2 linked regions of the Drosophila melanogaster genome follow. The protein of the gene in region 2 interacts with the protein of the main gene of each other region in a pairwise test. Each region holds a gene or a part of one and is shown on either strand. Other genes may lie near its edges. The genes, in order: CG14151 and CG2247.

What was found.
Region 1: the proteins of CG2247 (region 2) and CG14151 interact in a two-hybrid assay, tested with the Drosophila melanogaster proteins (one large-scale study listed by BioGRID).

What each region holds. Positions count from the first base shown.
Region 1 is NT_037436.4:10,627,033-10,630,257, forward strand, and holds CG14151 (uncharacterized protein), read right to left. Parts: upstream 1,453-3,225; 5' UTR 1,422-1,452; coding exon 1,308-1,421; intron 1,248-1,307; coding exon 1,016-1,247; intron 954-1,015; coding exon 709-953; 3' UTR 648-708; downstream 1-647. Other genes in the region: CG34238 (uncharacterized protein), read left to right, coding at 1-10, 66-343; CG42536 (uncharacterized protein), read right to left, coding at 2,186-2,277, 2,328-2,426, 2,480-2,627, 2,686-2,769, 2,833-2,964; CG42535 (uncharacterized protein), read right to left, coding at 3,068-3,129, 3,183-3,225.
Region 2 is NC_004354.4:11,605,753-11,613,442, forward strand, and holds CG2247 (uncharacterized protein), read right to left. Parts: upstream 5,901-7,690; 5' UTR 5,780-5,900; intron 5,083-5,779; 5' UTR 5,077-5,082; coding exon 4,725-5,076; intron 4,662-4,724; coding exon 4,450-4,661; intron 3,962-4,449; coding exon 3,650-3,961; intron 3,556-3,649; coding exon 2,951-3,555; intron 2,889-2,950; coding exon 2,801-2,888; intron 2,748-2,800; coding exon 2,482-2,747; intron 2,401-2,481; coding exon 2,262-2,400; intron 2,204-2,261; coding exon 1,031-2,203; 3' UTR 538-1,030; downstream 1-537. Other genes in the region: CG1703 (uncharacterized protein), read left to right, coding at 6,426-7,512, 7,585-7,690.

The sequences.
Region 1 (3,225 bases), on a different chromosome or scaffold from region 2:
GTGGGATTGAGTGAGTGCAATATTAGAAGTATCACCTTAAAATTAACTTTATATTTTTCTATCAGTTGTGGAGTGCATTTTTCTATACATCGTTCAACGGTTCTACGTGACTTTGGCCTTTTGCCAAGCCTGTCATAAGGCTATAGCCACAAAAATAGCACAACAGGAAGCTTGTATGGATTATGAAAGAGAACACAGTCACCAAAGGCATCATTTTAATTATGGCGAAACCAAAAGACCTATTCAAAACCAAAATAGCAGGGGAAAAATAGTTAAAAACTCTCCGTCACAACCAATGAAGATGGGTTTTTTCAGACCTTCAGACAGCAGCTCAACAACGTAAAATGAAGGGTTATATATATTTATTTTATAGCTAAAATATTAAAAGACAAGTTTGTAAAAATATTAAAAATATATTATTTATCTACAGGGCATGCAACTCTTCGAATTCGTTTAGCTGCATTTGTATCTCTAGATTTTTTCTTTACTCACTGCTGAGCAAATTATTTTAAAAGGATTTTGTGTTTAACATTGGCGTTCTTGTGTGTGTGTGTGTGAGTGGCTTGTGTAGGTGTGAGTGGTCCGCATCCTGCGTGTGATAAAAGTTAAAGAGCTTGTCTCAGACAAAAAGAAAAGTTCAAATCAATGCATTCAATTTCATGTTTATTTTAAAAATATAAAAATCAATACTTTAAACACTTAATACCTTCACTTTCGCATTTGTTTCTGAAGTTTTTTGAGAACGGCTTTATCTTTTTTCATACGCTCCTTGGCTTGTTTTTCCATCCGTTTCAGATCCTTGCGATCCAGTGGCTTTTCCTCTTCCTCAGCGTATTTCACATCACAGCCACTCCTTTCTCTATACTTCTCATCGGGAGGCGTTTCTGTTGCACTGTAATCAATCATATCCAGATAAAGTAGGTATATGATATAGACAAAAGTCATTTCCACGGCTAAAAGGAAATTCAATTATATATTCAGTAAATTAAATACGCTAATTATTATTTAGACCTACCCAGTCCTACGAAGGGCAGCACTGTGATTTTGACACCTTCCCAGTTCACAGATATGGCCAAGGTCAGGCCGTAGAGCAGTATAAATCCATCTAGAAGTATTCCCAAGCAGGTGAACACCAACCAGAATCGTACCAGTCCCAGTTTTCGCCTATAGATACCCGCCATCAAAACTATGATTATAACCATCCAGAAAATGGTGAAGATCAGTGCAACCAAGGCGGTCCAATGACCCTGCAAATACCAAAATTGAGCCACAATTTCCCTGAAAGGACTGTGGCCTAATTGTCTTACATGCCTGGCAAATACCACTCCTGAGATAATTGCGAATAGCAGGGCGGATATGAAGTCCAGCAAGGCGATGCAATAGGCACAGGGCACTAAATATCCATCAGAATTTGACCCCATCGCCCAGGCTAAGATTCATCACATCACTGGCAATGTTGTCTACTAAATCAAAGCTATAATGATGATAAGCACGTACTTGGCGATTGGAGAAGGGGGTTACTCGGGTCTTGGCGGCCTGTTAATCAAAGCCGTTTGATTGCCAACATTCATGGACACAGCACAGTGGTATTCAAGCGTGGGAATGTAGGGAGACTCAGTGGCCAAAAGTACAATACACTACAGAAGTTTTCAATATATGCCAAGTTCAATGTTCCTGCGAATTATATTTAGTTTCATGAATTTTTTTGTAATTTCCGTTTTAATTTATACATCTAAATTACATGCATTTATAATCTCTTCATTCAAATACTGAGCTCTAAAAATAGCTGCCAAGTGTATTCCCAAAACATTCTAAACCAATGTGAACTGCTTTTTGCTGGCGAACTTCGTTCCTCATTTATGGCATTTGTTTTGTCAGCAGGTCCTGGAGATTGAATTGTCCTTTTTCCTGGTCCCTCGATGGCAACGTGACCACCTATCGTCCTCGCAGGCATCGGAAAATAGATGGAAAACTGTATAAGTCAATTATTATCATTGCTTATGGGGGGTCGGGAATTGATTTCCCGTAAATAGAAATCCAAATAACACATGAAGAAAACCATTTTTAATTTATTTTAGTAACTCCAAAGGGATTTTGAACCGTGTGTGGACATTGAACATAATGAAACGAACATAAATGATCATTATTAATCAAGCTTTTTGCTGTTTTTGTCCAAACTGGCATTTTATCCTTTAGAAGATCTTCCAGAAGTCCTGTATTTTGAACTTGGAGATTGGGTTTGAGTCTCATTATCTCTGTAATCTTCTGTTTTTCTATCTGAAATTTATGTATAGTATATCGTATAAATCTGTGCTTAAGCTATTCACCTTTAGTAGTCGTATCATAATTATCACCCTCCAAAAGGACGTAGGAATATAATCTCCTAAAGTATCTGAATACCAAGTATAAGCAAGTGACCTCGTAAACTGCAAAGATTTATAATTCAATGTCTAAGAATGCTATTAAATTAAAAACATACAGATTCCCAAATATGAAATGGTCCAGCGCTTTAAATGTTCTGCGTCGAAAATAGGAGATGAAGTAACATTCCATATTAAATAAATAATATCCGTAGCAGTTGCAAAGGCAGTGAACAGTAACCAAAATACGAGCAGAGTTGGTCGACTCTAATTAATACGAAACAGTTAAATATGTATATAGTTGGTAAATTTTTTTAATTCTTACTGTCAATAAACCAACAAACAGTCCACCAACGGTCGCAATCCAAGCTATTGTACTTAGAAAGGCCATTATGGTATACCAATTCGTCTAATGCAAAACAATAAATGGCTAAAAATGTTAAAGAACGTTCTTTTCAAATACAATACTTACGTGCAAGACCATGAGTGAAACTGAACTAAATGAAAAATACAATGAACGCACCAGTTCAAAAGCGCCAATAACAAAGCATGTCCTTAGGAGATTATCCGTAGGCAACTTTAGCTCTCCCGATTCAATAGACATTTTGTAAGAAATAAATTTATTCGATACACAAATGTTTGAAACAATCTAATAAATATATATTTTTTTAGTACGGAAATACAAAGCCAACTAAAGTTGAAAGATCTTATTTTTTGCCTTTCTTCTTTTTTGGGCTTTTAGACTTTTTCTTTTCGTTTTTTCCGCCACCTATATAAAATCGATTAGTAGTAAAATGTAATATTAGTTTAAAGCTATCTTACAACATAGGGTCCTCTTCTTTTTCGATTCATCCATAATCTGATA
Region 2 (7,690 bases):
GTATCGATTCCTTGTTACTCGATATTGCGCATCCACTTAAGCCGTAACCAAAACCCAGACACTAGGCAGGCACATACATAGCCACGTAGCACATAAGAATTCTTTTTCATATGTATGCACAAAAGCATAAGCAAGAAGCGCTCTCGCGCAGATCAAGTAAACAACCCACTAACCAAGTACATTTAAGATTTTCTCACACCATTTGTTTCAGTCTTAAGCTGATATTCAATCAATAAAAACGCAAAGCGAATTCATTCGAAGTTTTTATTCATTTCGGTTCAAATACGGATCATTTATTCGACTCAAAAGCAAAAATTATTTTACTATATGTATTCTCGATCCACATGACGCGACGCGGCGCAACGAAATGTCGACGGAGAACAAAACTCAGAGCTGCATTTGTATTACACATTTCGTTGACATTTTTTTTTTTTCAAGAAAAACGAGAAATATCTTTAAACAAAGTGTACTGTATATTTTTGGAGATTTATTATTAAGATCTTATATATTTAAATGTAATAAAAACAATGTCTTTGTACGAAGAAGATGGGTGTTTTGCGTATGATTTTTATTTTTTTAATTGTGTCATTCATGTTCAAATGTAATGAGTACAACTTTGATCTTGCCTTCGTAGGACCAGCAAGACCAGGCAGAACTACTTACACGCAATCTTACATAAGTACTATATTTTTATAGTGAAATTTATAGTTCACTTCCCAAAACAGTGGTTTAAGTCGATTTAGTATGATCCAGCAATTAACCCATTTATTTATTATGTTTACATGTTTTTCTTTTCTGTTCATTACAAGCTGTCAATTTGTAAGCAGCGTCGCTTGATTGCATCGTTCACAGCTTGGGACAAAGTAATGTACTGAATGTCGTTCAAAGATATTGTTGAGAGTGTGTTTAAATGTGGTGTTCGGAGGTGATGCTTCTCGAGAAGACTCAGTCTTGGCATTCTCTGCTACTGGGAGGGCTTATATATGAGCTAACTTATGGCACCTAGGAATAACTAGTGCGTTAAACGTTCTTACTTGTTTTTCAACTGTGGCCGTTTGAGGAAGGTAACCATGGTGCTGTTGAACATGTTCACCTTAACAAACGTAACAAATGTTGTTGGTGCCACATCGCGCAGTATCATCAGCAAGCGCTTGGCGGGCAGAAAGGTAACGCATTCCGTGTGGTCCGTTTCAATGCAACGGTCATCGGGAGCACAATAATTAAGGTCATCGTCCAGCGGAATTCCCGGTACAGGGCGCTCCACGGGGATCACATCCTTCTTACTTCCCCTGTACAGCTCACCCGTTGCACTCAACAGCTGGGTAACCAATCCTAGGCGGAACACGCGAAGCTGCGAGGCATTCTCGCGAACGGCCCGCATTACGGAATAGATCACGTTGGCCGAATTTTGAAGACACTTTGGGACGAGCAACAGGTGCGTAACAGTGGTGCACATTCCAATCAACGAAGTTAGAAGGTCATCCACCTCGACGTTCACCAGCTCCAGTTGCTGTACCGAACAAGCAGCGGCTACACCACACATAATGTGGTACAGCGGAAAAGTGGTATTGATCATGTGCTTGTTCTCCAAGCGGAGCCTGCGTAGAGACGTTAAAAAGGGCAGCACTTGCTGGCCAAATTCCTCGGTATCCATGCCCTGGCATGAAGACAACACTAGCACCTTCAGGTTAACTAGTTTCTTCAAGAAGCGGAAGTCCTGCGAGCCTATATAATTCACTCCACGTATATTCAACTCAGTTAGATGCACCAGGTCGCCCAGAGAGTCTAGTGATTCCACTTTGCTTCTGTGGTCCGTCATTAAGATTTGAAGCACGCGAATCTTAGACCATTGTCGTGCCAAATTTAAAAAATTAAAAGTTGGACTGTAGCAGATTGCCCTTAGCTCCAGCAGTTGGGGCAATTCACGAAAGACCTTAAAGAGGAACTGGTCATCTACTGGACAAGTGCGAAGAACACGCAATGCTTTCAGGACGCTAATGTCGAGTGTAGCGAGAATATCCGGAGGATTCGGCAATATCACGCCCAGCATGTCCAGTTCGCGTGTGCAATTATTTGCGAGTTCACGGATAAATCGCGGCCAGTTGCTGATATGGGTATCGCGTAGCATGACTGTGCGCCATACACTCTTATCCTGACTGATCATGGCCCATGTTTTGCAAACCTGCGCCATATTTACACGATCCTATATGGGATGGGATGGGATTACGAACTTCAATTTTACGATGACCTAGACATTTTACCTTCATCGTCATGATTTTCATAACGGCCATCACTATCTGGCATCCGATGTGACAATCGCCCAGGCTCTGCACCAAACTGGAGCTACATTTGTCCTTTGAGATCTTTTTAAGGCCAGCCAAATTCTGCCGGTTTGGAATCCTGATAAGTTGAGGAAAAACATATAAATAACTGTGCGTTTCGTAGGTTTTTTGCGTTGGTCTTGGAACTAAACCGACTCACACTTTCAGATTGCAACCAATCGGATCGGCTATGATGGCTATAGCCTTGCGCCCTCCAATTACAACAACCTCTTGTTCCTTTATAACGGTCTGCTTATTCACGTTTTCTAACTGCTTTTTCTCCGCCTGTTGAACGGATATTTCATTTTCCAAAGTGACTTCTATCATGCTGAAGTCACTGTCATCGTCATCATCATAATGATCCTCATTTCCTCCAGTCTTTTTCATCCATTTCTTATTGGCATATCCCTTCTCATAGATACACTTCTGAAAGAGGATATTATAAGCCAGTGAATCTCCAATAGCATTTCGTAAATTACCTTGCACAACTTAGGTCCAGACGGATGAACAGAAGCCGCGCAGCGCACACAAGGCTTTGACTTATCAGGGGCTGCCTTTGCGTGAGCTCTGGACATGAAAATACCGAGTATATAGAGATTGATATGTGTATATATATACAATATATCTACCTGCGCCTGCGAATGTTGGTATTACCAATCGGTGAACCGCACGAGCTGCTGTTGGTGTAGTCTGCCCGAGAATTCCCCTTAACCGCCCTGGTCGAGGTCCAGCCCTCACTCGGTGGACTTGCCCCTTTGGGCACCTTGGGCTTCGACACTCGCTTTCCAGTGACCGTTAAGGCAGGCGTCTGGGGCATTACGTTGGACGGGTTGGCCAACCCAGCCTTGCCTTTCACCACCGCCCCTTGCTTCGCCACCGTTTTGCACTTCACAACCGCCACATGTTCCATCTCCGCCACCTTTGGGACCGGGCTACCATTGCTGCGAGGCCTGGGATTTTCGGAGCTGGGTATAAAGAGATCTCGCTCTACGCCAGTTTGCTTTAGGCGTTCGAAAATAACTTTCAAAGAGGTTTCGGTGGATGTTTCTTTCATTATGTTCGTCTCATCGGTCAGAGGCGTATGGCTACTGAAGCGCACTGAACGACGCGAATGCTCCGGAGGCGAATGGGTGGACATAGAACGTTTTACGATGCGAGCGTCCTTAAGTGATTTGTGCAAGGTATGATCAGCTTCCGCCTGCTTCTTGGTGGTATCCTCTTTTTTATCTTCAACCTATGGGGGAAGATACAAGAGGGAGAGAAGATCAATGGTTAGTAAATCTGTGAAATTTCCGACTCTTAGCATAAGATTTTTTAAGGGTCTCCACCTGGTTGTATAAGTCTGATGGTTGCATGTTGGTTGGTGTTGTACTGGACTTGGATGTTGTTGCAATACCAGTTGCATTTGGACTTTTTTTTGCGTTCAAAGGGCTTTTAATGGCTGCATCCAATTCCCCCTGGGAGGCGTCGAGTGGCGACGTCATTATCGGCGTTGTTAGAGACGGCTGCTGCTGCTGCTCCTCAGACTTATTAGTGATATGAGCCGGCTTTGTTGTACCTGCCGCTGTCTCCTCTTGTGGTTCCACTCTCGGAAAAACCTTTAGGCCACTCCATGGCAGTACACCTGGCTTGGCCGTCGACTATTGCCGTAGTGTGCATGTTGTGTATTGTTTGGTTGAGATTTGAGATAAGCACAGATACGATTTCGTGTTGAGAAATACAATAATATAGAACAAACAAAACGATGTCCGCACAACATAGACCTCTGTATACCAGTTACCAAGTTTGATTGGAAAAATAGTCAAAAAACAGTTTATGGGGATCTAATAACCTTAAGTTCTTTCGATTTATGCAAATTTCCGTCCCAAGATTATTTACAATATTTTTATGTTTACATAAGTTTACTTTACAGGTAAAAGTAATTTGAGTATAAGTTTTAAAATAAACTTATACTCAAATTATATTGATTAATTATGTGTATTTGTGAATAAATACCGACCGAAAGGGATATTCAAATTAGCCCATTTGTGGATTGAACATGAGTATACAGAGGTATGTTCTATAAGCTTGAACAGACAGCAGCAGGCCAGCTCGTGTCCTGGACAGCATCGCCATCCCCTCTACTCACCAGCGGTTCTTTATCCGAGTTGCTTTCGATGTTGGATATGGGTGTTAGCTTTGGGAATTCTCCAGTCCATCCCATTAGACCTAAATCGCACGGTTCAAGATCGTCACGATGCGTGCTGGGCTCACGATGACGTTCACGTTGACGGCCACGGCGTCTGCGGCGTTCAAATTGACTCTTGTCATTTAATGTCTTTGAAGTCTTAATCATAGTACCTAAGTGGGTTTAGATGAGATGTGTTATTATGCTACAGATGCTGGTTATTTATTTATGCTTACTTTTTTTTCCCTGCTCAGTGTTCGAGTCTTTAAAGCTAGAGCCATCCCGGTGAGTCGAAAGATCCACGTTTGTGGAATTGGCATTTAACACCAGCAAGTCGCCCTCAATAATGTTTTGTCCCACGCCGGCACTCTGTTCACCAATGGAACCTTGTTCATCTATAGCACCGCCTGTGCTACTTTGATTGGCGCCGGAACTAGGTCCTGCAGCTGTAGATGATTCGAATGCGGAATCAACGTTACCGTTACCACCGGTATGCGACGATGAATTGGTAGCGCTGCTAGAGTTGCCAGCTAAGGGCTGCTTGTCACACGGCTTTGACGGCCCAAAATTGTCATCGGGCACATCCATGTCGCTCTGGAATCGATGTGCAAAAAAATAAGCTAAGTTTCTAGATATATGTTGTATATGTTCTCATAAAACATTAATAGTGATCACTTATGGAACCGATAGGCAAACAATTCAATGGAATTTCGTCTGTCAAAAATATTGACCCTGAAGACCTGGGTTGTCACTTTTTCCACAACCGACGTTTTATTGTCAAGTCATTTAATTTAAAAAGTATGCGATGTAAATTCTAATCAGAGTTAGCCCTTTTTAATACAATACTTTACAATAAACGAATTCTGCCGGTTAATCTGCACACAACTCACACACACACACACACACATGTAAATTTATGCGAGTGTCAGGGTTGCGCGGCTTCGCGGTTTGTTTTCTTTACGTTTCTGCTTTGATCGCCACAATTGTTGATCGAGAGGAAACCTGACGCACACATACGAAAAAACTGAATAGCGGGTTCTTGCACTTTCGCCGGCACAAAGTACACAGTTTTTCTCGTTTAAGTTAAATTTACTATCACTCTTTCGGACCGTTTCGCTTTGTTACTGTGTTTTCAGCCTATGCTTTGCCGCTTCTTCGGCGTATCGCGAACTTGCGTTGCAAGTAAGTGTGTGTGTGGATGCGACGCTTATTAAATCTGCACCGGATTGTTCAGCTAACCGTGTCAAAATCATGTAGAACTCAACAATTTTGTTTTAATTTTTGAGCTTACCTTTGTAAAAGAAATAAAAAGTTCACTTGAAAAGACACTGAACACGACAACTTCTTTCGGAAATATAAAACGAACCTACAAGCGTACTTAACTTGTCGACTTCCACTCACACAATTATTCGGTTAGATGGAAAATCTCGACAACGATTATTCAATACTATCGAATGAGTTGTAGGATTTTCTAACACATGTAAATACCAAATTTTAGCATATGATATGTTTTAAAACTTACCGGCATATACATTCACTGAGATCACAGATTTTATTCAAACGAATGTCTTAACATATATTTATATATATATTTATATTTATCTCAACACTTAAATACTAAAAGACACGTTTATCGAAATTGCCATTTTTGGAGACACCTAACGGGTTTTCCATCGCACAGTTTCGTTCCATGTGCTGTCATCGATAGTCCAACAACAAAATATCGCGTGCAATCATCCCTGGCGACACAACTGGTTGTACATATGTATATAGCGACATTACACACCTACATATATACACCTACATATTGCCAGCTCTGCACGTGAAATCCGAGGGCGGCTGTTGTAATCTGTGATCAAATCAAGTGAGTCCAAGCGCTAAATGCAAGTACTATAGGCCATACAATAGCATCTCTTTATCCCTATGTGTTCACAGACATGTCCAAGGCCAAGGGTAAGAAGAAGGAGCGCTTTGATGACGACGAGGAGCAGCTGGAGAAAGTGCAGGAGAAGAAGCCACCGACAAGCAAGAAGGGTGGTAAGAAGGGAAAGCGAGGAGGTGGCGGCGGCGACTCCAGCGACGAGGATGTCACGACCAGGAATCGGGACAACGAGGATCTGGAGAGCATAGCCTCATCGAATCAGAGCAAACAGCAGACTGCCGGCAAAAAGCAGGCCAAGAAGGGTAAAAAGGGCAAGAGGAATAATGACTGGAGCGACGAGGATGAGAAGCCAGAGAAGAGTTTGCCTGCCAACGACTTGGACGATGAAGATGACGACGAGGCGCCTCTGGCATCCAAGCCAGCTGCTAAAAAGCCACAGCCCAGCAAAAAGAACAAGAAGAACAAGAAGAAGAACGACGATTTCTCGGACGAAGATAAACCGGAGCTGGACTTGGACGACCTGGACAATGAGGAGGATGAGGTGGAAGTGGTTGCTGTCAAGCCAGCCTCCAAGAAGTCCAAGAAGAAGCAGCAGGCTCAGCAAAAGAACATGTTCGCCATGAGCGATGATGAGGAGGATGAGGTTGCCGATGATCTGCCAAATGACAGCGAAGAGGAGGAGAAGGAACAGCTGTCCAACAAGGCGGCCAAGGAGTCAAAAAAGGAACAGCAGAAGCAGCCCGAAAAGGAAGTGGAGGAGCAGAAAGTGGAGCAAGTCCTTAGCGAAAAAGTGGCGGCAGTAAGTCTCAAGGAAAAGACACCTGAGCCGGTACCCAAGGCCGAGCCCGAACCCGAGTCTGAACCCCAACCCGACGAGGAAGCCGATGCTGAGGTAGATTCCAAGTTCGAGGAGAGCAAGGAAGCCAAGGAGAAGAAACTCACTCACAAGGAGAAAAAGAAGCAAAAGAAGCAGCAGGAGTACGAACGCCAAATGGAGCTGATGACAAAGAAGGGTGGTGCCGGTCACTCGGACTTGGACAACAATTTCACCATGTCGCAGGTGCAGAAGAGCGCTGGTCAAAAGGCGGCTCTGGAGCAAGCCGTGGATATCAAGATCGAGAATTTCACCATCTCAGCCAAGGGTGAGTCATCATTGCTATAACTTTTCGTTGTGCATTATCAATTTTAAATCCAAACATTTTTTTTTTTTTCAGGTAACGATCTATTTGTGAACGCCAACCTATTGATTGCACATGGACGCCGTTATGGTTTGGTGGGTCCCAACGGGCACGGCAAGACCACCCTGCTCCGGCATATTGC